7 linked regions of the Oryctolagus cuniculus genome follow. The protein of the gene in region 7 purifies or fractionates together with the protein of the main gene of each other region. This does not show direct contact. Links are inferred from orthologs where the notes say so. Each region holds a gene or a part of one and is shown on either strand. Other genes may lie near its edges.

Region 1 (3,500 bases), on a different chromosome or scaffold from region 7:
GTAAAGCCGCTGCCTTCAATGCCAGCATCTCATGTAGGTGCCAGTTCGAATCCCAGCTGCTCCACTTCCAATCCAGCTCTCTGCTATGGCCTGGGAAGGTAGTAGATGGCCAAAGTCCTTGGGCCCCTGCACCCTCATGGGAGACCAGGAGGAGGCTCCTGGCTCCAGATTGGCACAGCTCCAGCCAGTACAGCCAGCTGGGGAAGACCAATTGGAAGACCTCTCTCTCTGCCTCTCCTTCTCTCTTTCAAATAAATAAATAAATCTTTTTTTAAAAAAAAAGCTTATTAAACTACATATCTAAGTTGGGTATTAAGAGTTAGCTAACCTTCTGCCTCATAATCTATTAGTGTTATTTCTAGGAACGTTGTTTTATAACTGAATGGAGAGTCATTTTACACTACCGGAAGTTGTTTATATTCTACTTTTCTTCAAACCTTTCCACAAGAATTTATACTTTCATGTAAATTTAAAATGAGATCTTAAGTAATTGTTTTTAAGTGGTATTAACATGCTAGGATAAAAGAAATTTTTCCTATTAAATACAGTTAGAAAAGAGTAAGTTCTAGAGTTCTATAGCACAATAGAGTGAAAATAGTTTGTAACAATTTATTATACACACCGATGCATCACTTACACTGGAAATACATTCTGAGAAATCCATCAGTAGGCAAGTCCATCATTCTACAAATATAATAAAGTGTACTTGAACTAGGACAGCTATGATGTCACTAGGCAACATCCTGGAGTTACGTGGTCACTGACAAAGTCTAATATAGCGCAGAGTGGGAGGACTGTGTTCTCAACACAAAATGATGTTTGAAGTGATAGAAATGCTAGTTGCCCTAATTTTATCACTATATACTGGACCTACATATATCAAAATATACTACATCCCATATACTTGACATGTAGCGTCAAGTATCAAAAATGTATATATAAAATAGCCCAATACTTAGTAACAGCCAATTTATAGTATCTCATTTAATATTCAAAATAATATTTGAGTACTACATTGTAACTTCATGCCTATATTACCCAAAGCCCAGAAAAATATTAAGGGATGGCTGAGGGCACACAGGACTGGCCAAGCTAGAAATGGAATTAGGCAGTCTAGTCTAGAGGCTAAGTTCTAACTGAGTGACTTGGAGTGACTGCCTCTTTACTGAAGGTTTTCTTAGACTCTTTAAATCATGGTGTATTATGAGGGTGCCAGAATTATTTTCACAGCCATGTACTGGTGCCTTGGTAAGTAGTCTCCACTCCCCACTCCATTTCATCTTCCTCAACTGAACTTTAACAAGTTTCTCATTAATTTCAAACATGATACTACTCTTTCCAGAAAACTCTCTTCAACCATTCTTTAGCTGCTGCAGAATCATCTGTTGCTCTCCATGTTGTATTTCTTTAAAACTGCTCATAGCACTACTCAGTAACAGAATACACTGTTGGTTCTACACTAGGAAAGACACCCAGATTTCAACAATCCCTGTCTACACATATCTAATAATAGAGTATTTTACAATATGTTTTAATAATCTGTTTACACACGATTTCCTTCACTTGACTGAGCTTCAAAAGGACAGGAATTATCTTTCACAAATTCCTACATGTGGTATGCACTGAACAAAGAGTTGTGTTAAAATTCAACAAATCTAAAGATATCAAACCTCACAATATCAGGCAAATCAAGCAAGTCCAGCCTGAATTTCAAGAATCTACATTATCAAAATCTTACAAATGGTACAATTATATTACTTTAGCTTAGTAATCCCAACTATACCAGTTGTTTTATTTTATCCTTCTAGATTTATGAGCAATTCATAATTAGCACAGTAAATATTCCCCTATAAATTTGCTGTTAAAAAATCTAAATTTTATTCTTTTGGTTTATTTTTTCAAATCTTTATTTTGGTGTTCTCAATTTTTTGAACAGAGTACAAAGATAAACTTCATCCTAATACTGAACACGGAAATAAGTGTCAAATAAATGAAACTGAGTCAGGCAGTCTTAACTTAGGTCTCTGAAGAGGTTTCAGAGGGTCCATAAATGCCCTGAAATTGCTAAAATTATATTGTATAAATTACAAAAATGTTAAAGTTTACACATTATCATTCTTAAAATACTATAGCTATGCCATTTTTCAGGGAAGAAAATGACACATAGCTTTTACCACATCCCAAATATGTAACAACTGGTTTAACATAAAGAGATTTTATTCCACTGCTTAGAAATTCATTTATGCAAAAGAAAATGCTTGTTTACTGATCCAAGGTCATCCTAGATATGTTTTGTTTATAACAGTATTTTCTCCATATATTAAATAAATTTGTAACCTTAAACCTACCGCAACTTCATTAGTATCTCCATGCTCAAAATATTCCTGTATGATTGGTGTCAAAGTTTTCTCAAATGCCCTTTCATCCAAAGGCAAAACTACAGTTTCATAAACACAGTTCTCCTGTGAGGGGCAGGGAGAAGAGTTATAAATTAAAGAACAACATTTCAGGTAAATGGAAACTGTTATATAATTTTACTAGTATATTCTACATGGTTAGTAATCTCCATTTAGGGCAAGATAAAGAAATGGCTGTTTTGATCACTTATATTATTACAAGTGAAATCTATAGGTCACTGTTCTTTTACACGATGTGAATACAGTAAGTCAGTGTACAGACTGAACCATTAGCTACAGCAAGTGCGACTTGCTCCCAGCTCCTTTTTCTTGTGTTAATTTATGCCTCTCAAAAGCAACCTTTCAGTAACCAACAAGTTTTAAGATGGCTTCCTAACACATTAAGTATTTCATTTACACTTCCATTTTTTAAAAAATGAAGCAGAAACCAAAGCCTTCATTATTTGTATTATCATCAAGTGTAACAAAAATCAACGCTATAGTAAGCCTGGGAAATCTTAAGACTGAAAATCACTGTTTAACTGAAATTTCAAAAAATAAGATTAATGTCCATCATTAAAGCATCTCTCTCTCCCATACAAGAAAAAATCTCTTAAGTGTTTGTTTAGAAACATGTTACTGGCTTCAGTCTAACACATATTTCACTTGATCTTAGCCAGAATGCCTAGAAGCGATAACATATGCTTCAAAGACTAATGAATATCTGTATTTCTAATATTCTCTTAGAAAAATTTCTAGGAGGCCAGCACCGTGCTTCACTTGGTTAATCCTCCACTTGCGGCGTCGACATCCCATATGGACGCCGGGTCTAGTCCCGGTTGCTCCTCTTCCAGTCCAGCTCTCTGCTGTGGCCCAGGAGGACAGTGGAGGATGGCCCAAGTGTTTGGGCCCCTGCAACCGCATGGGAGACCAGGAAGAAGCACCTGGCTCCTGGCTTCGGATCGGCGCAGCACCGCTGTAGCAGCCATTTGAGGAGTGAACCAACAGAAGGAAGGCCTGTCTCTCTGTCTCTCCATCTCACTGTCTAACTCTGTCAAATAAATAAAAATTCTATGCCCAACTATTAAAATAGGTAACTACATA
Region 2 (3,500 bases), on a different chromosome or scaffold from region 7:
ATGGTCCCCAAGCATAGTACTGTCATAGTTTCCCAAGTACAGGAAGGCTGTGATGTGCCTTAAGGAAAAAATATGTGTATTAGGCAACTTTCTTTGCCATGAGTTCAATGTTAATGAATCAATATTGTTATATATTAAATAAAGTATCTTAAAACACAAAGATGGGCTCTGCTGTGCTGTGGTGAAGGAGATTAAGCTGCCACCTTTGTAAAACCGGCATCCCATATGGGTGCCAGTTCGAGTCCAGCTCCCTACTCATGTAATGTGCCTGGGAAAGCAGCAGAAGACGGCCCAAGTGCTTGGACCCCTGCACCCATGTGGAAGACCTAGAGGAGGCTCCTGGCTCCTGGCTCCTGGCTCCTGGCTCCTGGCTCCTGGCTCTTGGCTCCGGCATGGCCCAGCCCCAGCCCATTTGGGGAGTGAACCTCTGGATGAAAGATATCTCTCCCTTTCTATCTCTGCATCTTTGCCTTTTAAATAAATCTAAGTTGGGGAAAAAAAAAAAAAGGCATAAAACATGGCTCTCAAAAAGCTGTAACCTCTCAGGCTCACAGGAACCTAACCTTACACTTCCTCAGTATTCAAAGCTACTTTACAAAATACAACAACCACCATTTAAAAGGATTTACTGTCAGGCCAGCACAACAGGTTGAAGTCCCAGCCTGTAGTGCCAGCATCCCATGAGCACGGTTCGAGTCCTGGCTGCTCCATTTCCGATCCAGCTCCCTGCTAATGTGGTTAGGAAAGCAGGAGGATGGCCCAAGTCCTGGGTCCCTGAACCCATGTACAGAGGAAGTTCCTGGCTCCTGGCTTTGGAACAGCTCAGCTTCGGCCACTGCAGCCATTTGGGGAGTGAACTAACAGAGGGAAGACCTCTCTTCCTCTCTGTAACTCTTTCAAATAAATCTTAAAAGAAAGAAATCCACTATACTGTTAACTCCACTTACATTAGGCACAGAAAAATTAAGTGGCTTGCCCAGGACCACAGCTCAACTGTGAGACAAGAAGAATGCAGGGCCGGCGCCGCGGCTCACTAGGCTAATCCTCCGCCTTGCGGCGCCAGCACACTGGGTTCTAGTCCCGGTCGGGGCGCCGGATTCTGTCCTGGTTGCCCCTCTTCCAGGCCAGCTCTCTGCTGTGGCCAGGGAGTGCAGTGGAGGATGGCCCAAGTCCTTGGGCCCTGAACCCCATGGGAGACCAGGATAAGTACCTGGCTCCTGCCATCGGATCAGCGCGGTGCGCCAGTTGCAGCGCGCTGGCCACGGCGGCCATTGGAGGGTGAACCAACAGCAAAGGAAGACCTTTCTCTCTCCACTCTGCCTGTCAAAAAAAAAAAAAGAAGAAGAATGCAGCAGATAGCTCTACGAGTAAAAGCAAGCAGGCTGCTCACTTAGATCTGAACGTAGAACACACTGCTCTAGTGACTGCACTGTCCAGCTCTGACCTCCAGCTTCCTGATAATGAGGGGCGTCAGAGGCAGTAGTGATGGCTCAAGCAGTTAGGTTCCTGCCTCCCAGCTTAAGCCTGGCCCACTCCCAAACACTACAGGCATTTAGGGGAGCAAAACGGTGGACAAGAAGCATGGTCTTGGTTTCACTCTCAAAACTAGAAACAAAGCGGGGAGGACTAGAGGGGGCCGGTGTTGTGGCACAGCACATCAAGCTGCCTCTTAGGAAACTGTTCCCAATTCCCACTCAGCTTCCTCTTAATGCATCCTGGTTGTCAGCAGATGATGGCTTAAATGCTTGGGTCCCTGCGACCCAGGAGGACACCCAGATGAAGTTCTAGGCTCCTGGTTATTACAGTCTGGCTCAGCCACGGCTGTTGTAGGCATTTGAGAAATGAACCAGCAGATGGAAGATACCTCTCTGTTGTTCTGCCTTTCAAGTAAAGTAAACATACATTCTAAAAAGAAACTGGGAGTGGGAGAGGTGGCAGACGCATGTTTAAGAGGCAAGAGGAGATTCCAAAGACCCAGACCAAGCATAAACAGGGAGAAGAGAGAAAGAAATGGGCAGATGTGAGGAACATCAAAATGGCAGAACTGAACTAAATTAAAGCTCTAACAAAAGGATGAAACAGAATAAAGGTGACCGCCCAGATTTGTAGCTTATCAAAGTAGCTGGACAGTAGTGCCCCTGAAGGAAGTGGGGTGTGCGGGTGGGGGTGGGGGTGGGGGTGGGGTCAGACATAGAGGAAAGGGCTGAGTCTGAGAGGTCGGACTGCACAGCCCAGCTACAGGCAGAAGTCACGTGCAGGTGCCGGCAGACATCACGCATGCACGCAACTCCTCAAGGGCAGCACACGTGGAAGGAAGAGCAGGCCTGGGACTGAGACAATGAGCTCTTTCCATGCAGTCTCACAACCGGCAGGCGTGTGCGTGTGCACAAATAGTCACAAAGTACTTTCTGGTTCTAACTGTTTTTAAGAACACACCAATAGGTCAGGCCCGGGAAGAGCCTCCAGAGAAGCAAGGAGGCAGAAGACAAACAAGCAAAGCGTCAGCACACAGAAGGGCCGGTGACTTGGTGACTTCAGGTGTTGTGTTTTGTTTGGCAAACCTCTGGTAAACATCATTTCACTGACACTCTAAGAAAGATAAAATACCAGTTCACACAGAACAGGTAACAGCCCTCTTTGTCACTTAAGAAGTTTCACTTTGCACATGGAAACACATCAAGCAGGCTCCAAGCACCCCATCTAGTTTTCTGAATACCAGAACCTTACCTGGCTTAACAAACGGTCTCCAAGGACCAGGTCTGGAGTCCTCGCCCCGCCTGGAAATCCGGTCATCATCAGCTCGTCTTGACATCCGGTCGTCATCCATGTTTCTCCAAGGACCCCTGTCATCGTCAGCCCCCCGTCTGGGAATCCTGTCATCGTCGGCATTCCTCCAAGGTCCTCGATCATCATCTAGCCCTCGCCTGGGACCCCGGTCATCATCAATGCCCCGCCTGGGACCCCGGTCATCATCAGCACTCCGCCAGGAAGGCCGCTCATCATCAGCACCCCCTCGCCTCGGGCCCCGGTCCTCATCCATCATTCGTCTTGGGCCTCTGTCCTCATCGGCTGTCCGCCAGCTTCCTCTGTCGTCATCCAGTCCTCTTCGAGGTGGCCTGTCATCCTCTGCATGGCGCCAGCTTCCCCTGTCTTCCTCACCAATCCGCCTGGGAGGCCGATCATCGTCTGCACTGCGCCAGGAAGGCCGCTCGTCCTCCAGCCCACGGCGAGAGAACCTCTCTTCATCGGGACCACGCCGGGGGCCTCTGTCGTCCTCCATGCCACGCCGGAGAGTCCGGTCATCATCTGGCCTAAGAGAAGATTCTCTGTCTTCATCGTCCCCCACACGCCTCGGCCGCTCTTCATCTCTTCGGTGAGACCGCTCGTCATCCCGCCCTTCTCCACGTCGCCACTCCCTGCAGAGCAGCAAGCCAAGTTGTAAAGGTAAGCGTCTTAAAAGCACAGAATCTCTTGGGGAATGATCTTTTATTCACCAAAAA
Region 3 (4,134 bases), on a different chromosome or scaffold from region 7:
TTGGTGGACGGCCTGCGGGGAGAGGGAGGGAGGGAGGGGGGCTGACGCGGCTGGCGCCTGGGACCTCAGGGTGTCCCTGGGCTCCCTGTGGGACCTCCGCGCGCGGGGACGGGCCCTGCTGCAGGCCAATAAAGCGCTGTCGCTGCACACAGGCTCGGTGGCTGGGGCAGGGCGGGGCGGGGGGGGGCGGGGCGGGGCAGGGCGGGGTCTTACTTGGCCCACTCCACGTTGAGGATGAGGTGGTCGTAGCCGAAGCCTGACACCCCGGCGATGGCGCGCGCGGCGTCCTCCCGGCGGTGGAAGCTGATGAAGGCGAAGCCCTGGCGAGGCAGAGCCCAGGTCAGGGTCCTGCCCACCGCCCGGGCACCGCCCTCAGCCCCAGGATGCACGGCCAGGCCCGGGCCCCGCCCACCTTGGACTGGCCAGTGGTCTTGTCCTTGGCCAAGTAGATGCGGGAGATGGAGCCGAAGGGCCGGAAGAGCTCCTGCAGGTCCGTCTCGCGCGTGTCCTCCGACAGGTTGGTGACGCGGATGGTGGCGTTGTCGTCGGCTGTGTGGGCGGGGCAGCTGGCTGAGCGGGGGAGGCCCCGCCCAGCGCCCGCCCCCCCCACGCCCAGGGCGCCCAGCTCACCTCGGCGGTTGGGCTGCATGGACTCCCCGCGGCGGCTGGCGCCGTCGCGCAGGCTCGGGGGCACGTACTTCCCCGTCTTGTTCTGGGCGGCCTGCACGGGCTCCAGCTCTGCAGGACGAGGGCGCCGGCGTCAGGCCCGGCGGGCGGCCCCCAGGGCACGTCCCGGACGCTGGCACCATCTGCACGCGCTGCCAGCAACACGGGCACCGCCAGAACCCACGGGGGCGCGCAGGCCCGCAGCACACGGGCAGGGCACGGCCAGGGCACGGCCAGGGCCCCCGGGCCTACCTCCCGGCAGCTTCTCCTTCTCGCCCGTGGACAGCCCCAGCTGCTCGGCCAGCTCCTTCTGCATGGGCCCCAGCGTGTCCTTGTAGGGGCAGCGGGTGGTCCAGTGGTCGCCCTTGCAGATGCGGCAGGACACGATCTTCTGGCCCTTGAGCTTGTTCATCGGGTCCTCCTCCTCCTGGCAGTTCAGGTCCTGGGGGGGGCGGGGGTCAGCGGGGAGGCGGGGGCTCACGGCCTGCACCGCCCCCGACTGCGGCCCCACCCCGCCCCCACCCGCGGCCCCGCCCACCTCTTTGCTGGTGATGAACGTCATGGAGACATCGTCGCTGACCGTGGTGGTGGCCACGTTGGGCCCCGGCGGGTCAAATTCCGAGTTCCCAAACTTCTTCCAGTTCTGGGCTCCGGGGAGGGGGTCAGGTCAGGGCAGGAGCGGGCGACGGCCCACAGCCTTGGGCACCCACATACCACGGCAGCCACCCCGCAACAGGGGCAGCTGCGGCTCCATGCCAGGCCCAGGCTGGGGGGGGCAGGCGGGGGTCCCTCCCCGGTGAAGCCAGCACCACCAAAGCTCCCGGCCTCCCTGGGTCTCTCCGGGCGCCAGGGGCTTGGCACGGGGCCTGCCGCCAGCCAGGGGCACAGCGGGGGAACCCCCTCCAACCCCAGCCGCTCCTGCACCCCGAGTTTCTCAGGGCCCCAAGAGACATGCAGACACCCCGGCCTCCGGAAGCTCAACTCCCCCTGGAACAGGGGTCCCCAGCTCCCGGGTCAGCCCTGCGGGGGCGGGGGCCTCACCTTCCTCCTCGCGACAGCCTTGGAGGCCTTCCGGGTCTCAATCCTGAAGGTGCGCACGATCTGCAGGTGCGAGGGCAGTGGGTGGGCCCCCTGCACCCCAAGCCCCCGCCCAGGGCCCCGGCACGCCCCTCCCCCAGCCCACCTTGAACTGCCTGCACCCCAAGCCCCCGCCCCGGCCCACCTTGAACTTCTTGCCGTCCTCATCGATCTTGTACTCGGTCACCGTCTTGATGTTCCCGTTGATGACCTCCTTGGGGGGCGGCAGTGGGGCTGAGGAGGGGGACGGGGAGGGGAACTGAGCCCTGGGAGCGGCGGGCCGGGCGGGGGGTGGGGGTGGGGTGGCCAGGGCCGCGGCGGAGGCTGTCACTTACCCCCGGGCAGCAGCTCAGGCTCCGGGCTGGTGTCGCCGGTGGCCAGGGGGATGCCCTTGAGCAGCTCGCTGGTGACACATTTGTCTGCAGGAGGGGGCGGGCGGGGGTGAGCCCCAGGGGCGGGGGCAGCCTGAGCAGTGGCCAGGGCACGGGGGTCCTTGGCGTGAGGGTGGGGCACGGGCCGGGAGACCCCGCGGGCGCCACGCCTGGCCCCGGCCCCGAGCAGGACGGGAGGGGTCAGTGGGCTGGCCCCGAGGAGGGTGGCGCGGGGCGGGGGCCGCGCGCGGAGGTGCCGGGGGGCCCTGAGCAGTGGCCAAGGCAGGGGCCAGGCCCCGGCCCCGAGCGGGGCGGCACTGCCCCGGGCCGGGGGCCGCGTGGGAACTCACCGTCCTCGCCCTCCTCCTCCACCTGGTCGGCCCAGCTGGGCTTCGAGCTGCGGGGACAAGCGTGCGGGGACAGAGCTGGGGCGGCGAGGCCGGACGACGGCAGCCCCGCGCGACCCAGGCCCCCTAAGAGTCCCCCAGGACCCCCCCACACTGTCTCCCGAGACTCCCGCCGCCACCCCGGACTCACTCAAAGTCTCCCGTCGGCATTGCAAAGTCTTCTCCACGCAGCCCGAGCCCGGGCCAGAGAGCGGAAGTGGGGGAGGAAAGAGACTTCCGGTTCAGCCGCCGCCGCCGCCTAGAGCGACCCGGCCGAGGATGCTCGCAGCGCCCCCGTGCGGACGGGCGTGGAGGCGCCGCCGTGTGCGCTGGTACCCAAAGCGGGTAGAGGCGGCTAGGCGCCTCCCAGGGTTGACCGGAAATGCAACATGGACGCCGGTTCGAGTCCCGGCTACTCCATTTCCGATCCCGCTCCCTGCTAATGCACCTGGGAAAGCAGCGGATGGCGGTTAAAGGGCTCAGGCCTCTGCACCCACGCGGGAGACCCGGAAGAAGCCCCTGGATCCTGGTGTTGGGCTGGCCCAGGACTCTGCTTGTTGTAAACATCTGGGGAGTGAACCAGCAGATGGAAGATCTAATTGCCTAATAAATACCTTTCTTAAAGACTTGACAGGAGAGTTTCAAACAACCCAATTTTAAACAAATTTTTATTTCAGAGGCAAAGACACCAGTGGGATGTCCTATCTACTGCTCACCCCCTAAAAATGCCCAAAGCAGCCACAGCTGGGCCAGGCCGAAGCCAGGAGCCGAGCACTCCATCCGGGTCTCCCACAGGGGTGGCGGGAACCCCATTCCTTGAGCCGTCATCACCTCCTGCCTCCCAGGGTGCTGCAGGAGCTCCGATATGGGGCCCCGGGGACAGCCGCTAGGCTCAGGACCCGCTCCTGGAGTTGCCACGTCTGCTAACGTCCAGTTATGGACGAGCTGTGGAGGCACAGACAACGTAAGCTCTCTGTGTGGACACAGCAAGTACTAGGCTGACTGCTGGACACCACGGCCCAGGGCAGACACAGCACCGTCCGGGGTGGTGGAGCCCGGGCAGGAGGGAGCCGGGAGGCACGCCACGGGGCTCCACTTCCGATGCGGCTCTCTGCTGTGGCCTGGGAAAGCAGTGGAGGATGGGCCAAGTCCTTGGGCCCCTGCTCCTGCACGGGAGACCCGGATGGAGCTCCTGGCTCCGGATTGGCTCAGCTCCAGCCGTTACAGCCATTTAGGGAGTGAACCAGTGAATGGAAGACCTTTGTCTCTCCCTCCAGATAAGTCAAATAAAATCTTTAAAAATAAAACCGCTGGGGCGGGCAGCCGTTCAGACACAGCTTGGGCCGCGCCGGCTCCCCTGCCGAAGTGGCGGAGGCTCTGCCCCAGCTCCGCTTCGAATCCCAGCTTCCCGCTAACCCAGCGGCGCCGGAGCCTCCCGTCCAAGGAGAGCAGGGCCGAGTGCGCAAGGACGCTCAGGGCCCTGCGGCTGGAAGGGCAGGAAATCAAGGGTTTTGTAAACTTGGCGTTCCCCTGGGTGAGGCTGTGGTGCAAGCGCCACCAAGTGGCCGTCTAGGGAAGTGCAGGTAGCGTTGGTCCACACAGTGACCCCCGCCCCCCAGGCTGCTGTGAGTCAG
Region 4 (3,500 bases), on a different chromosome or scaffold from region 7:
TTGTCAGAATCATGAAAGCGGCTGGTCATCAGCCAAGCACTGTTCTAAGCACTTCACCTATTATTATTCAATCCTCAAAATAGTTCTGTAAGGGTTCTGCTATTACATCCATTTTACAGATGAGGAAATGGAAGGACAGAGAGGTTAAGTAGCTTGCCAGGAGTAACACAGCCAGTAAGTAGAGAAGGTAAGATTTGTATCCAGAGAAGACAGCTCTGCGGAATCTGAAACTCGTTTGGTTTAGGGCAAGCTAGGAATGGCTGTTTGCAAGGCCGGGCCTGGCGTGCAGACGAGACACTCACTTTGACAGCGTACTCTTTGCCACTCTGCAGGCTTACGGCGCCTTGAACTTTGGCATAGGCTCCCTCTCCCAGCAACTCAGAGGTCAGCTTGTACACATCTAGAGGTGAAATGGGTGAGAGGAATAACAAGGTGAGTCATCCCACTGCAAGCTGGGGTGGGAAGAGGCGCCTCCGGCACCCAGCTTCCCCGCTGTGACGGCACAGGCCGAACAGGCGCACAATGACCACGGCACGCTTGCTGACGAGAAAGACGCGTCACCTCCCAGTCATCTCCGGACTCGGTTTCTCAACGAGACCACACGGAAGGCATCCTGTTCCTCTTTTGAGAGTTGAGGTTGCTGGAGGGATTGGGGTTTCCGTTCTGCAGATGCTTCTGAGCACCTACTAAGTGTCAGACAGCACAGGAGGGGCAGAACGAGGAGAGGCTCGAGTCCCTCACCTCCAGCGGTCACAGGCCCGCAGGCTTGACAGCTACACACACGAGTGGTTCAGAATGGCCCCGGCACTGGTAAGAACTATTCCTGAGGGACAAGGCGCAGGGAGAACAGCAGGGACAGGGAAAGGTTGAATCCGCTCGGGCAGTCTGGGCCATCCTCCTGGAGAGGGAACGCTCTGCGGAGCATGTGCTTTGTGGCGAGCTCCTTGCTAAGCACTGCTGAGACAACGGGGAGTAGAACACCGTTTTACACCACAGAAAGTGGACGTCACTGGAGGTTTCTGAGAAGTTTCCAGAAGTCAGCCACAGGAAATAAGAGACGGAAGTAGCCTGCAAACGATGCTTCGAGGTTTTAGGGCACTGAGTCAGAGTGGCTGTGACAGAGTAACAGGCCTGGGTTGAGAACAACTGGGTGGCCTGCCCAAGCTTACAGACAGCATGGGTTCTCTAAGCGCTCTCGAAAGGAGGCCACATCTCCACCACAGCCCTCGCTGACCTGACCTCCCTGTTCTCAGCACCTTCCTCTCATTTAAGCCCGCGGACTGAGCTGAATACTTCTATAACTGCACAAGCAATCCTCAGATAACAGTAAACACTCTCATTTTCACTGAGAGAGCAAAAGACCTGCTGATCTGGAAACTGTTCTAAAACCTCTGGGGCATTTGTAACCCATCTTCCCCTGCCACACATGCACATGTACACATAGATGTCCACTGTCTAAGTTAAGGGAAGACAAACTCCAAACCCCTCCAGTAAGTACCTTCTTGGCTCCATCGCAGTTTGGTCTTGCAGCTGCTCATGAGAATGGTGGCACACTGCTGGCGTTTTAAATGCCATCTTTCTCCCTATGGTCACCTTGCCATCAGGCCTTTACACGCACCAGCACAGGTCGGTGCTGGGGCGCCATATTCCCAACTCATAAGCACATGTTATTAGAACCACTCTACAAGACAGCCAGCTTACTGGTGTGTCTGCAAGGCTGGGAAGAGGGACCATGAGGGCCTCACAATGAGAGAAACAAGAGTTGAAGGGGACAAGTTACTCCTAGCACTAGCTTCTGATCTGGTCTGTCCCCTATAGAAGTGGCTATGGTCCACCTACCCTAGCTCCGATCACCCAATGACCACAGCATCAGCACTGAGTCATATGCCCCACGTGGGGATGGTGTCTAGAAGTGTCCGATGACCCAACACGGCACTTCCGGAACACCCGTGCACTCTTTAACACGGGATCAAGCATGTGCAGCACGAGCAGCTGCAATCTCTAGGAGCAAATTCTTTGCTTACACATGATGGAAGTTTCATTTGCAGCCCCGGCCCCTGGTGTTTCTTGCGTCCTCTAATATGGCCGTCCTACTTCTCAGCAGCCCCTCCAGGAACAGCCAGGGAAGAATCAGCTGAAGAGGAGCACGTGCACCCTGGGCAGTCTCACTCCACACACGCCCTCTGAGGTGGTGTTGGCCCATGGATGGGGGCCAGTGCATCATTCGAGAGCCTTCCCCAACCTTGCTCTCTCTGTCCCACCTTTGTGTCAATCTGCTCAGCCCATCCTTCCCCCGAATCACACAGCTAACCCCTGCTGGCTCCAGGATGGCACAGCCTGGTATCCAGACCCACGGGCAACAGAATGCTTCCCCGTGCTTGGGGAGCTACATCCCAGGGCTAGGAGAGTTGTGATACCGACCTTCAAACCTCCCCGGCAAGGAGTCGGCAGCCCGGGCTCTCCGCTTCTTCTTCTTCCTTTTCTCGCTGTCTGCGACTGAAAGGGGCTCACTGCTGCCCATCTCTGGGAGAGAAGAGGACAGGTCAGGGGAACACCACTGTACTGATCAGGCTCCAAGTTCACCCAGGAGAGAAAGAGGGAGGGGGACCAGGAGCTTTACACGGATGGTTTTTAAATATCTGTGAGGACTATTGATTTGTTTTGACCCAGAAGGCAAAACTAAAGGCAAAACCATTATAGGAGATCATTAACTGTGGAAAGGAACTCAGACAGGCAGGCTAGATTAAAGGAGGATAGCAGAAGCCTGCTTTAACCAAGCTCATTAGCGCATGGATTTAGATCTGCCACCAGTCAAACTGTATTTCCCCAACCGAATAATGACTCTGCAAGCACAGCTCCACCTGTGACGCCCTCTAGTCTCAGCACCCGAAAGGCAGGACCCAGGGAGCTGGGCGAGAAGTGGGTGGGAGCAGGGGCGTGTGCAGACAAACCACAAGCTCAGTGACCCCCCTTGGGGGAGCGCTCACAAGAGGGCTGGCAGCAGGTTGAGAATGACCTTAAAATCCTCCACGTCCCGCAGCACAGACCGAGTGCCAGTGGAGCCCACAGCATCCTCTCCCCTCCCTGGCCCTTCCAGAAGCCTGTGGTCGAGAGGTCCCCGACAGGCTGCTGGGTAAGGTCACTGTGGCAAAGACATTATTCTCTCTCACTGGCATGCACCTGGCCCCCCGTCTTCAAGGGAGGATCCGTGAGGCAGACTTCCAGACACTGGGCAGGAGAGTCAGGCAGGGGCTCAGACAGGAGGACCAGTGAGCCAGGGCCCAATCACAGGACTGTTCCTAAGACACTCCATTCGGGCCGTCCCCTGTGAAAGATAAATTACTTATAGAACATGTCATGCCCCTGATCCAGAGTGGAGCCTTAATACTCTTTGCCTGCAGTTAGAAATAATAAGATTTCTCTGAAGTCTCTGGTCTAAATCCCCACCAGGGTGATTAAACCTTTACATCCTTCTAAAATAGAGGCACTCGAGTGCTGAT
Region 5 (4,150 bases), on a different chromosome or scaffold from region 7:
GCGCTGCCCCCCCGCCCAGCTCTTAACCCAGCCAGTACTGACAAAACGGTCCCGGAAAGACCTCTGCGTGACCACACCGATCACCAGGAAAAGTGCAGCCCAAGCACATGCGAGTCTTTGGAAACGACACCTACACTGCTGAAGTGGCACTAAAGTGACAGATGACAGTAATCCAGCGGCCCCAGGCCAGCAAACTCCACCGCAGACAGATTTGTCTGCTTTGTGCCACGGTGATTCCTGCATGTGCGGCAGTGAATAGAAGCGGGGCAGCCGCGTGCAAATTCAAGAGCAAGCACGTCCTAACCCTTCACTCTCCAGCAGGCCAGCAGGAGCGGCGCCCTCAGCAGCCAGGCTTAACGGGGAAGCAGACCTAGCAAGAGTCACCTACAGGTCTGAAATCTGCATTAAAAATATATAAAAAATAAAAAAGCAAGAGGCCAGTGTCACGGCGCAGGAGGTAAAGCCATCGTGTGTAATGCCAACTTCCAACATGGGCACCGGTTCGAGTCCTGGCTGCTCCTCTTGTGATCCAGCTCCCTGCTAACGGCCTGGGAAAGCAGCAGAAGGTGGCCCGAGTGCTTAGGCCCCTTTACCCGTGAGAGACCCAGAAGAAGCCACTGCGGCCATCTGGGGAGTGTCCAACAGTCGGAAGGTCTCTCTCTCTCTCTCTGTACATCTTCCCTTTGCTCTCTGTAACTCTTCCAAACAAATAAATAAATTTAAAAAAGAAGGCAAAACGAAATAGCCTCACTGTAACTAATTCGAGTGGAGACGACCCCGGTTCCCCCACCCCTTGAGTGTGTTCTGAGCACGGCATGTGCCCACGCCCCCAGGTCTGGGCTGAAAGCCGGCGTCCAGCCTCAGGGCCACGTCCCTTCCCCTGACAGCGCTGGAACACGGGCCCGGCGTCTGCTCTGGAGAGGAACCCAGAGGGCAGGGGGCCACGCTTCTCTCAGGGCCACTTCAGAACACTCTGGGCCCAGCCACACGGAGGACAGGCCCTGGATGGGGGCCGCTGGCACCAGACACGCCACGCCCACTCAGGTGACAGAGAACACACACCTGTGGCATCGCATCTAGTCTCGGGATGCGCCCTCTACATACAGTCAGTACCCCAGCACACTGCAGGAATGTCACCACACCCGGCGGGTCCCCACAGCCCCCAGGGGATGAAGACTGGGGGGGGGGGCGCTCAGCGCTGTGAGGCTCCGGGGCAGGGAGGCGTCAGCCAGGCACTCGCAGGTCCCTCGGGACCACAGACACTCATGGAGCAGACACACTTACTCTTCAACAGGGTTCAACCCTCCCAAGCCAGCGGCACTCAAAATGTTTCCAACTTCACTGCTCCACTTCCGCGCAGGGAATGGGCTCAACCAACACTTCCCAGTATGATGGAAACAGGCTACAATCCACACAAAACTGTAAAACTGTAGCCTTAACAAGTCGGTTGTAAAGGAGGCTAACTGGGGCTGCTACTGCGATAGCTACCTCGTACCGGGTCAGCCTGCCTGGCTCGGGGCTCGGCGATCGCTGCTGAATGAATGACGGGGCCCCAAGCGCCCAGACTCTCGGGACAGCGTGACCGAGACCCGGCCGGTCCAACAGCCAAACCCTGCTCAGGACGCCACTGCTTCCTTCCACCACTCTCTTTTAGACAGGAAAGGAAGAGGGGTCCAACCGCGCTCGGCCCCGAGGCGCAGGTCAGTCTCGCGCTGGCCAGAGGCACAAGTCCCGGGCCACGGACGCAAAGGCCATCGCCAGGAGGCACGCGTGGCCTCCGCGAACGAGCCCGGGCACCGAGTATAGGAAGTGCGGGAGCCTCTGTGCACGCGAAGCCCGCAGAAACGCACGCCAGGCCTCCCGGGGGAAAAGCCCGCGACGCACCGGCTGCCCGGCGACCCGAGTACCGGGAAGTTCCGACGGCACGCCGGAGCGGGCGCCCCAAGAGCGGAGCCCCCCGAGAGGTGCTGTCCGTGCATATTTAAGGAAAGGCCCGCGGCCCGCCCGGGGGAGCCGCCGCCAACAAAGCGGCGCGGCAAGGCGGGAGCTGCCCCGCCGCCCGCCCCGCACCTACTTTGTGCCGCTCTCCCACCTCTCATTCAGAGGCGCGCGGCGGCCGCCCAGGCGCCGGCGCCGGGGCCCGGGGCTCAGCCGGCGCCCAGCCCGGGGTCCACGGCCGGCGCGACCCCCAGCCCGCGCCCCGCGCCCCCAGCACCTCCCCCCCGTGCGCGACAGGGGACCCCCGCCGCCGCGCCCCCCGCCGGCGCCGCCCCGGGCCCCGCGGCACCCGCACGCCCGCGCCGCTGTCCTCAGCGGCCCCGGCCCCCGGCCCACCCGCGCCGGCGGGTCCCGCGGGGTCCACGGCGCTGGGGGCGGCCCGGGGGCGTGGGGCGCGGGGCGCGGGCGGCGGCGGCAGGCCCGGGCGCGCCGACGGCGCCGCCAGAGACCCCGGGGCCGCGCCGCGCCCCGCTCGCCCCGGGAAGCCGCGGGGCCGGGGACTGGGGAGCGGGAACCGGGCGGCGGCGGCGGCCCCGGGGCCTAGGCCCGGGCGGCGGGTCCCGCGCCCTCCCCCACCCCACACGCTCGCTCCCGGCCGCCCGCGCCCGCGCGCGCTCCCCCAGGCTCGGGCCCCTTCCGGCCGGGGGCGCGGGCCGCCGGCTACCTGCGGGCTGCGGAGGGCCATGGCGGCCCGTTTGAATGGGACTCGGCGCGGCCCGGCGGCTCACGCTGCTTCCCCCGCCGCCGCCATCTTCTCGCCCGCACATACACACTCGCATCGGCCGCCGCGCCTGCGCACTGGCGGCGCGCCGCGGGGCGCGGGCGGCCGGGGCGCTGCTGCGCGTGCGCGGCCGGCAGGTGGGCGTGCGCGGGCGCCTCCGGCCGGGCCGGGCGGCCGCGGGAGCCGGGCCGGTGGACTGTGAGCCCCGCCGGCTCGGGCAGGTGCGGGCCTGATGGGGAGAGGGCGTGCAGGTGCAGGGGGAGCTAGTGCCCCCAGCCCCCGGGGCCCTCGCTGCTCCAGGAGAGTCTCCCTTGGCTGATCAGACCCCCGAGGAGGGCGTCTCCAGATTAGCGGAGTCGCCCTCCCGTGCGTTCGTTCACTGCTTCCCTCGCGGTTCTGCCGGGGCCCTGGCTCCGAGCCACGCCTTACGCGGGCATTGCAAACCCAAAGCCAGAAGCACCGAAGCCAGGCACACAGGTGAAGCGCCTGCCGTGAGGCCTGGCCACCATCCTGGGTCCGGGGAGCCCCCCGAGCGCGGGCTGCCACCGTGTGTGCGGCTGTCACGCGCCCACGGGGAGCCCGGGTCGAGCAGCCCCCGGTGATGCATCCTGCAGCCGGCGCAGCCCCAGTGGCCGGGCAGTGTGCGGAGGAAGCGCTACAAAGACGCCGCAGTGAGATACATTGGGTCTCGGTGGAATCCCCAGTGTTGCAAGCTGGTGTTACTGTTTGTTTTCAGGATTGGTTGTCAGAGTTACAGAGAGAGAGAAATCTTCCATCCGCTGGTTCGCTCCCCAGATGACCCAAGCGTCCAGGACTGGGCCAGGCCGGAGCCAGGAGCCAGGAGCTGGATCCGGGTCTCCGACATAGGGGGCCCAAGTACGTGGGCCGTCTTCCGCTGCTTTCCCAGGTGCATTAGCAGGGAGATGGGCTGGAAGTGGAGCAGCCGGGACTTGAACCAGAGTCCCTGTGGGATGCCCGCTGCTGGCCCCTGCGGCTTGTTTTGTGATAGACAGATCAGAAATCGGGTTACATATAGATGATGAGTGAATTACTGCTGACTTTCATCACGTGATGATGATGTTGAGCTTGTGAAGAGAATGCCCCCAGGCCAGCATTGTGGCGAAGCTGGCAAAGCCACCATCTGCAAGACCAGCATCTCATATGGGTGCTGGCTCCTGTCCTGGCAGCTCTACTTCAGATCCAGCTCCCCACTAATGGCCTGGGAAGAGCGGCAGAGGATGGCCCAAGTGCTTGGGCCCCTGCTACCCATGTGGGAGACCTGGAAGAAGCTCCAGGCTCCTGGCTTCAGCCTGGCCCAGCCCTAGCTGTTGTGGTCATCTGGGGAGCGAACCAGATGGGAGATTCTCTCTGTCCCTGCCTCTCTCTCTGTAACTCTGACTTTCAAACAGATAAATAAATCTCAAATAAATA
Region 6 (4,013 bases), on a different chromosome or scaffold from region 7:
CAAAGACCCAAGTTCTCTTATCATTTTCCAGGACATTACAAATGACATTAACATAAATTCTTAAAGGTTAAGTACTAGATTTCAGATAAACTAAAGAACACATTACTTTGCTTTTGAGGACTTTTTTAATTCACATATTCTGTGACTTAAGGACCATGATTATCTGACTTCAAGGAAGCTAATTTTGTTTGCATCTTTTCACAAAAATATTAAGCAATAAACATCAGAATTTAGACATGTGACTCACTACTATGCAACAGGACAACTTTTCAACTCTAGACTGATAACCTCCAGGCAAGCAAACTTGTGCTTGCTAACTTTCCATAATGTCTACTTACTACAAACTTCATTAATGGATTGACCATAGTTATCAAGCCAAAAAAATTAATACTGTAACATGAAATGAGACAGAATTAATGTTTATTGAGTAACTACCAACTGGTAGGCAAATCAGCTTAATGTTTGACGTATCTCGTTTAAAACACAAAACAACCCTCTGAGATAGGCCCTACAAAGACCATTTACAGATTGGAAAACTGTAACTTGCTTATGACAAATCTACAAAATGTCAAGGCAACAATATGAAACTAGGTCTTACTCCGAACCCAGGAATCAAACTACACCCTGGATACCACATCTTGAAACTCAAACAAAATAAGCTAACATTTCAACACAGGGATATTAACAGACAGATTCAGCTTCCACGCTCCAGGATCAATATTAAAGTGCAGGTAAAAGAATTATTATCATTTATATAAAATTCTGCACTGGAAGAGTAAATAGACAAGATTCTCCTTGTGGTTCCTAGCAATATATAAATCTCCAAAACTAGTTCCAAGTGATCAGAATTATATTGACCAGCACTGACTTCATTTAGATACCATGAAACCAGCAACTTCATGGTAATCAACCCAGACTGCTCCATTTAAACTTTATTTTCTGGGACTTCTTTTTTGATTTCTCCAATCTTTTCATTACATTTTTCTTTGCAAATGTTTTGACTGTCATGTCCCGTATGCACACAAAGAAAAAGGACAAATCTGAACTCAAGGCTCAAGACTGAAAATGTATCACACTGTGGAGAGGTAACTAATATCTTGTAAGGAAACTGACAATACAATCCAGTCCTAAGTTTACATAATACATAAATGAAGCATCTAAGTATCTTCAGTCAGTAACAGTACTACCTATTCACTCCAATGTGTGCAAAGCTCATATCATTCCTGAATCTGAGGCTATTGGATACAATTGCACACTTTCCCCTATGAGCCCTGGGTGCAAAGGGAACAATTTAAACAGCAGCACCATTAAGCGCATCGTGATTATCTGGTTTAAAGCTTCAACCCAAGCAGAAAGGTAAAGAGCTAAACATTCCCTAAAATTTCCATTTCATAAAAAGCTCTGTCTGCACAGATACAAGATTTTTAAGAACTTTTTAATAAAAGTTTTAACATTCTGGACTTGTGACTTTTGCTTAAAAAAAAAAAAAAAAGGGCAAGAAAGCCACAGAAGTCAACGTTATCTACAGTCACAAGATGAGCCCAGGAGAGTTCACAAAAACAAACAACGACGGTGAATATGGTTGAGATCCACAAGGCACAGGAAAAATATAAATACTGGGTCTTCCAATCATTAACTCTTAAATGTTTTCTTGGGCGTCATTCACGTTGTAGTAGACGAAAAACTGTCAACTCTCCATTTTCCAGGTCACTGTGTGGACTCCCAAGGTCCACTAACTTCTGGCCATCTCAGTTCTCAGTTCATCCTTTTTAACCACAGGGTGGGGGAAGGGAGAGCTCAAAGTTACTTCACTTTACTGCTCCTATTAATCTCATGTGGGAAGAAAGGATGAAATTAACCCACAACATTTCACCCACCTAACTGCTTGAACAAACTCTCTAAACAGGCCTTCGGAGTCATAAATGAAGTTGCTGGCTCCGGGGAGACCTGAGTTCAGACAGGCAGGCGGGTTTCAAGACTTTCCATATGGGATAAACCATGGCGCTCGAGCCCCAACTTCCCAGTCTCATCCTTGGCGAGAAGCTCCGGACCGCGAAGCTTGCACGTGGGCCGGCCTGGTTGCTGCTGTCACATCTCGTCGCCAGTCGGCAGGTGGGATCCAGGCCCGAGCGCGGACCCCCCAAAGCGGGGCTGGGGTCGGCTCGCCACTGCCTTCGGCCAAAGAGTCGAGAGGCCACACTGCCCGCCTGATCCACATGGTCGCCGAGCGGAAGGAGAGAGGGCACCATCGGGCCCTAGGCTCGTGCCTGGACCCGCGGCTCCCAGGCCCGGGCGGCGCCCCTGGGCCGGGAGTTCGCCCGCCGGCGGGCAATCCCGCCCGCGACAAGGCTGGCCCATTCCCGGGCTGCCCAGCGCCCCAGCCCGCACCCACCTTGACGTCTTCATCCTCGTCCTCGCCTTCCCAGCGGTCCCCACCAGCGGTGCCGCCGCCCCCCACCTTCCGCACCGGGTCTTCCACGGAGAACGTGTCCGCGTCTACGGAAGAGAGCGAGCCGCGTTAGTGCCTGCCTCGGCGTGGGGCCGGCATCGGCCCGGGCCCTGCCCCCGGGGACTTCGCCTCACCCCAGGAGTCCGAGTCGCCCGCCGCTGCCGCCGCCGCCGCCATCTCGAGCCGGGTGTGAGCGTGTGTGAGGGGAGAGCTGGCGCGGAGTTAGCGCGGCGGAGGTGAGTCACTGGCTTTGCTCTCGTTGGCCCGCGCGGGGCAGGCTGGGACCGTGGCTGACTGTGCGCCCGGGCCGAGGCCCCGCCCCTCCTGGCGGCGCGGGCGACGCGCACTGCCGGGGCGGGGACTGAGGCGGGCGGCGCGTCCAGCTCCCCACGACGCGGGACTGTGCTGCGGGCTCGCGGGGCGGTGGAACTGTCTACCCCAGCGTGGGTCCCGGGGAGGAAACGTGAGTGCAGGGAAGTGGGCGGGGCGGTCCCCCGGCTTGGCGTTTGGCCCTCGCTGGCCCTCACCGCCCCTCCCGCTGTTCTCGGAGATCCGCGCCCGCCGCCGCTGGCGGATGGTGTTCTCTCCGTGCGGCGCGCGGACTCGGGCTCTCCGCGCCACGCCCGCCGGTGTACGCGGCGGACCGGCCTCCCCGACCTCTCTCCAGTGCAGTCGAGCTGTAATGAGCAGGGGATCCTCTTGGAAAGCCGGCGTGTGCGGGGCGTCGAGGAACGAGCGAGGTGGACAGACCGCGTCCGTGGCGGCCTTCCCGATCCGGATGGCCAGAGCCACTCCGAACGCGGTTGCGTCCAGTTAGTCACCAGTGGATCGAAGACAGCCCCAGCCCCCTAGGCTTTTCCAAACTTCCTGGGAGCCCCCTGAGGCCAGCACATTGATTCATTCTTTTACAGACCAGTTTTGGGGCTCTGGTGCCTGCCTTGGGTATAAGCTCTAGCCTTGTCCTCCCCAAGTAGCAAAGACGGACAGGTAAACAGATTTCGGCACAGTGTGATGACTGCAACTGAAAGAAGCATTATGAGGTTACTTGTAAATAGGTGACATTAAGGGCAGCGGGCGCTGGAGGGTGCAGGAAAGGCTTCCTGGGGTTAGGCGCGGCGAAACGGCAATCGGAAAGACCCAGAGAAATTTGCTCGAGAGCATTTCCGGTAGAAAGAACGCGCGGTGCCCCTCATCTGGCTGGCGCCATTGGAGGTAAACCGAACAGGTAAACTGAACAGTAAGGGCTTGAGATGGGCTAAACTCTCTGCCCCTGGGGCCACTGGGCTCCCCTGTAGGACTTTAAGGGGTGGGCGGTTTCAGATGTTTTTATTTTGGTTTTATATTTATAACTTGCTACAATATCTGAATTTTAAAGAGGTAGAGGGGTGGGTGTTCAGGCTAGCGTAGGAGTGCCTGCTTGGCACTGATTTCCTGCTTCCTGCTCATGTAGGTACTAGGAGGCAGTGGTCGTGACTCAGATGCCTGGGTGTCTGCCACCCACATAGGAGACCTGGGTTAGTGCTCTTGTGGGCATCTGGGGAATGCTCCAGCAGATGGGAGCTCT
Region 7 (4,021 bases):
AGGTCTGTTCTACTCTCCAAGATACTCCTGTGCATACACCCCCCCCCCCCCAAAGCAACACACATACCACTCTGAATCTGAAAGAAACTCAGTCTCTGGCTAGGAATGAGAAAAAGATGTGCTAAGCCTGTTCCACTCAACCTTAGTCTCCTTCCAGTATCCAGCCCTTTGCAGAGGGGCAAGGAAACAAAAAGTAACATTATGAACTAAGCCCAAGAGAAAGAAAAAGTAATTCCTTAAAGCAATGGTCTCCAAAGTGGGAGCATTCTTTAACCTCATACATGATTTACACTTGATTTCCCAAGTGTCATGTTATATGTTTAACTTATGCACACATATATACAAACACACACATATATACATTTTAAAAGTACACAGTCAATGATCAAAGTTTTGGAAACCACTGCCATAAAGAACAGACTAGTACTTTCCTAGAATACAAACGAAAACTAGCCACAAATCCATGTCACATGCCCCCCACCTCCCCACCACCATAGAAACAGCGTCGCGGGAAAGCCCACCAGGCCCTCAAGCTGGAGCCTGGGCTTGCGTTCCTGACACAGGCAGGACTCCAACTCCCTTGGCAACAGAAATCAAGTCTTTATCCCCCACCAACACCAGTTAAACATTAAGCACCAATCCCTACTAACTATTAACCCTATTATTTTTAACCCCAAAGCCATGCCTGAGAAGGGTCTTAGGCTTTAGAAATCAGTAGATCACTTTTGAAGTTCCCTGGGAAGCACTCTCACCTCTGACTCCCTCTCTTGCTTACCATAGGTCCCAAACTCTGTAGGGCTTGCACCCGTATAGAAGCCTGGGGCTCCTGGCTGCACAGGGTACTGCTGTGTCGGGACAACATATGTGGAACGCCCCTGGTGGGGGAGGGGGGGAGAAGAGGGAAGAGAAGGAGTTGAGGAAGCTACGAGTACCATACCAGACTACAAACAGAATGCAGGGCAAGATAGGACAAGCCAACTCTGGGCAATGACCAGAAGTCCCATCTCTGACGAAGAGACAGGGCAAGAGGGTTGGGGCAGGAAGGGGCGAGGGTTACAGCACAAGGTGCATGGCTCCCAAGCCTCCAGCCTCACCTGTCCAGGGATGTAGTAGGCCCCCTGGGAGGCTGGGTATGAGATCTGGGAAGGGATCATCATTACTTGGGATCCAGCAGGGTAGACATGGGCAGCTGGGCCAGGGCGGGCAGGGGCTGCACTCTGCACTCGGGAGGCTGCACTGCTCGGGGGCTGGGCCCGGCTAGGGTAGAAGTGCTGTCAGGAGGGAGGAAAGAGGTTGGCACTGAGAGAGAGAAAGCGGGCAGCAAACTAGTACCTCCACAATGCCTCTATGGTCTGGAAAGTACTGTGGGGTTCAGAGCATAAAGACCAATCCTTCCAAGACACACTTGACCAACTGATGGTTAAGTGGCCTCTTATACTCACACACAGCCTCCAAACTCAGACGAACATTTGGCGTTTGTGTGTATTGATTCTCACTGCCATGCATACATATGTCACCTCCACCACACTGGCCCTCTGGAGGGGCTCCCTAACACCCAGATGCATCATGCCTAAGGCCCTTTCAGGGACATCCTCCCTCCCCAGCATGCACTGCTCCACTTAAGGTCCTGAGAAACTCATTACTAACATGCAAGTCTCCCAGTTCCCAGATACACTCTTCAGGATTTAGCCCCTAACATGCACTACTCAGCCTCAAACTAAGGACCCAACCAGCACAAAGTCCCCACCCTGAAGACCCCCCACTCCCTGTTTGTAGACCCTAAGGCAGAGGGGAAAGTGAGACCAGGACACGGTCCAGGATTAGGAAAGGGGTATTACCTGCAGAGACCTGAATCCTCCCTGAGAGCACATGGGGACAGGAAAGAAGAGAATTATCCCCAAGGAGATGAGGGGTTAAAAAAAAATCTAAGTAGTGGGACAAGAATCCTCCCACTTAGTAAGGAAGAACTCAGGTAACAGAAGAAGGCAAGAAACCAGCCAGAGTGTTTATCTTGCCATAGTCCAAAAAGAAGGCAAGAAAGGGGACTGGAGCAATGGCAACCTCTCAGCGAAAGAACCAGGAGAGGCAAAGTGGGCAGCAGGGGCTAAAGCACTGCCCCCAGTTTTCAGAGGCATCCGGACCCCAGTTAAGCCCCCCTCGCCGACGACATACTTCCCCAGGGGCCAGCCACCATAAGTAACCAACAGCACACAGTGCAGAGCCACAGGAGAGGACACAGACCGACTGCCAGGAAACTGAGGCCAGCACACAGCCTCCAGTTTCCACCCCAGGTCCACACTGCCCTAAGCCGTCCACAGCTCCCACCCAGGCCCCCTACTCCCCTCCCCACAGCCCCTCACCTGGCGGGGCTGAGAAGGCGTGTTCATTTGTGTTGCTTGTGGCGTACTGAACACCACCGGTGCTGTCTGCCCCGGGGGAAACGCTGGCTGAAGGGGGGAGACCAGAGTTCAGCAAGAGGGGAAGCCCGGGTGGGGCTGAAACCCACGCTGGTGAAACAGGGGGGGAGGGGGGCAGGTCTGCAGCAAGAGCCTCGGCAGTCCACACACCCCCTCCCCATGACAGCCCCTGGGGACATCCAGGGGACCTGTCTCAATTTGGCAGCAGGCAGCTGCACTTTGCCCTGACACAGATGGGGGTGGGAAAATCCAGAGGCTAGAACCTGTTCCTGAGGCGGCCTGGTCTCCCCCACCCCCACCCTAGCTAATTCCTCCCTAATTACCTGTGGGAGTCCAGGGGATGGGGCGGGCGGGGGGCCTGTGGGCTGTGGAGCTTTGTTCATTTCATTTGGTGCCACATCAGGGTCCCCCCAGCACCTGTTGGGAAAGAGTGAAGCTTGGAAAGGGGAACGGACCCAAGCTTAAGGCAAACAGAGTGGGGGAAGGGTTGAAGCTGGGTCCAACACGAAGCGCCGGAGGTGCCAGGGGAGGAAGGAGCAGAAAAAACTCAGGCTGTGTCCCCACCCCACCAACACGGTGTCAGATCCACACTACCTCCATCCACCCACCCTGATCTGCTGAAAAGAGCCCCCTCACTCACCCCTTCGGTTAAGAATAAGTCCACGGTGCGGCCTACAGGTTCTGGGCATCCGAGGGCCTGGGGTTGGGAGGTGAGGGGTATCAACCTGGCTCCGCGGGACCCGAGACCAACCAGACCGGAAATTCCAGGTCAAGCTGGCACCAGGCTCCCGGATCACACACGGAGCTAGCTGCTTCGGCCGTGGTGTCCCCACCCCCCACCCGGGGACACCGGGTTCGGGGCCTGGCCCAGGGGCGCAGAAGATACGCTTGCCGCGGGGGCAACCCGCGCAGGGCCAGAGGCGAGGCCTGCCGCCGCCCCAGGAGTGTAGGCCAGGAAGGGCGGGAGGCGGGCTTTAAAAAGCCAGGCGGGCGGCGGCTGGCGGCCGGCGGCGAGCCGGTTTCAAGCAAGTGAGGGTCGGCCTGGAGGGCGGGCGGGGCCGGGGGCTCCTCCCTGCCCGCCGCCGCCGCCTCCCTCCCCTGCGCCCTCCCTGCGCAGCGCCGGCCAGTGCCAAAGAACAACGTGTCACTTCCCGGCGGCCTGGCCGCGAAGGGGGGGCGGCGGGCCTGGGGCCGCGGTGCTGCTCCCGCGGGCCGCCGGGCCTCCCCGGGTCGGGCCCGAGTGGCATTTCGCGACCGGCGAACCCGGCGCCCTCCCAGCCCGCGGGGCCCACATAGTTCGGCCCCGCGCTCCCCCACCCCCACCCAGCAGCCAGGCCCGGCCAGGCCGGACACACGTGGGCCGGGGATCGAGCCCTGGCGGGTAGGGGCCCGAGCTCGGGCCGCGGGGCCGGGGCGCCGGGGCGGCGGTGCAGGGTGGCCGGTCCCGGCCCGGATGGCGGCGGATGCGGGGGGAGGGGGTGGGGGGGCCGGGTCGGGCCCGGACATGGCGGCTTTACCTTCAGTCTCCTTCAGTCCGCGCGGCCGAGCCCCACGCAGCCGCACAGACGTAGTCCACAACCATTTCCGGCTCCCCGCACAGATCC

What was found.
Region 1: the proteins of EIF4G1 (region 7) and PDCD4 purify together in Homo sapiens (affinity purification with western blotting; 3 studies listed by BioGRID and IntAct, with this or other methods). This does not show direct contact. The link is inferred for Oryctolagus cuniculus from reciprocal best matches to the Homo sapiens genes EIF4G1 and PDCD4.
Region 2: the proteins of EIF4G1 (region 7) and EIF3A purify together in Homo sapiens (affinity purification with western blotting; 4 studies listed by BioGRID, with this or other methods). This does not show direct contact. The link is inferred for Oryctolagus cuniculus from reciprocal best matches to the Homo sapiens genes EIF4G1 and EIF3A.
Region 3: the proteins of EIF4G1 (region 7) and EIF3G purify together in Homo sapiens (affinity purification with mass spectrometry; 3 studies listed by BioGRID, with this or other methods). This does not show direct contact. The link is inferred for Oryctolagus cuniculus from reciprocal best matches to the Homo sapiens genes EIF4G1 and EIF3G.
Region 4: the proteins of EIF4G1 (region 7) and MKNK1 purify together in Homo sapiens (affinity purification with western blotting; 3 studies listed by BioGRID and IntAct, with this or other methods). This does not show direct contact. The link is inferred for Oryctolagus cuniculus from reciprocal best matches to the Homo sapiens genes EIF4G1 and MKNK1.
Region 5: the proteins of EIF4G1 (region 7) and USP10 purify together in Homo sapiens (affinity purification with mass spectrometry; 4 studies listed by BioGRID, with this or other methods). This does not show direct contact. The link is inferred for Oryctolagus cuniculus from reciprocal best matches to the Homo sapiens genes EIF4G1 and USP10.
Region 6: the proteins of EIF4G1 (region 7) and EIF3J purify together in Homo sapiens (affinity purification with western blotting; 3 studies listed by BioGRID and IntAct, with this or other methods). This does not show direct contact. The link is inferred for Oryctolagus cuniculus from reciprocal best matches to the Homo sapiens genes EIF4G1 and EIF3J.

The regions. Positions count from the first base shown.
Region 1 is NC_091446.1:19,364,552-19,368,051, forward strand, and holds part of PDCD4 (programmed cell death protein 4), read right to left. Parts: intron 2,463-3,500; coding exon 2,349-2,462; intron 1-2,348. UniProt on the Homo sapiens protein: Inhibits translation initiation and cap-dependent translation. May excert its function by hindering the interaction between EIF4A1 and EIF4G. Inhibits the helicase activity of EIF4A. Modulates the activation of JUN kinase.
Region 2 is NC_091446.1:11,586,359-11,589,858, reverse strand, and holds part of EIF3A (eukaryotic translation initiation factor 3 subunit A), read right to left. Parts: intron 3,417-3,500; coding exon 2,728-3,416; intron 1-2,727. UniProt on the Homo sapiens protein: RNA-binding component of the eukaryotic translation initiation factor 3 (eIF-3) complex, which is required for several steps in the initiation of protein synthesis.
Region 3 is NC_091447.1:67,187,206-67,191,339, reverse strand, and holds the start of EIF3G (eukaryotic translation initiation factor 3 subunit G), read right to left. Parts: upstream 2,801-4,134; 5' UTR 2,672-2,800; coding exon 2,652-2,671; intron 2,512-2,651; coding exon 2,465-2,511; intron 2,163-2,464; coding exon 2,079-2,162; intron 1,978-2,078; coding exon 1,889-1,977; intron 1,768-1,888; coding exon 1,708-1,767; intron 1,310-1,707; coding exon 1,205-1,309; intron 1,109-1,204; coding exon 919-1,108; intron 739-918; coding exon 631-738; intron 550-630; coding exon 413-549; intron 321-412; coding exon 214-320; intron 147-213; exon of another isoform or gene 13-146; coding exon 1-12. UniProt on the Homo sapiens protein: RNA-binding component of the eukaryotic translation initiation factor 3 (eIF-3) complex, which is required for several steps in the initiation of protein synthesis.
Region 4 is NC_091438.1:126,227,834-126,231,333, reverse strand, and holds part of MKNK1 (MAP kinase-interacting serine/threonine-protein kinase 1), read right to left. Parts: intron 2,524-3,500; 5' UTR 2,522-2,523; coding exon 2,422-2,521; intron 401-2,421; coding exon 303-400; intron 1-302. UniProt on the Homo sapiens protein: May play a role in the response to environmental stress and cytokines. Appears to regulate translation by phosphorylating EIF4E, thus increasing the affinity of this protein for the 7-methylguanosine-containing mRNA cap.
Region 5 is NC_091449.1:66,213,479-66,217,628, reverse strand, and holds the start of USP10 (ubiquitin carboxyl-terminal hydrolase 10), read right to left. Parts: upstream 2,801-4,150; 5' UTR 2,684-2,800; coding exon 2,663-2,683; intron 1-2,662. UniProt on the Homo sapiens protein: Hydrolase that can remove conjugated ubiquitin from target proteins such as p53/TP53, RPS2/us5, RPS3/us3, RPS10/eS10, BECN1, SNX3 and CFTR.
Region 6 is NC_091443.1:67,472,157-67,476,169, reverse strand, and holds the start of EIF3J (eukaryotic translation initiation factor 3 subunit J), read right to left. Parts: upstream 2,801-4,013; 5' UTR 2,627-2,800; coding exon 2,584-2,626; intron 2,497-2,583; coding exon 2,393-2,496; intron 1-2,392. UniProt on the Homo sapiens protein: Component of the eukaryotic translation initiation factor 3 (eIF-3) complex, which is required for several steps in the initiation of protein synthesis.
Region 7 is NC_091435.1:93,890,456-93,894,476, reverse strand, and holds the start of EIF4G1 (eukaryotic translation initiation factor 4 gamma 1), read right to left. Parts: upstream 2,801-4,021; coding exon 2,741-2,800; intron 2,508-2,740; exon of another isoform or gene 2,448-2,507; coding exon 2,361-2,447; intron 1,860-2,360; coding exon 1,839-1,859; intron 1,272-1,838; coding exon 1,095-1,271; intron 876-1,094; coding exon 776-875; intron 1-775.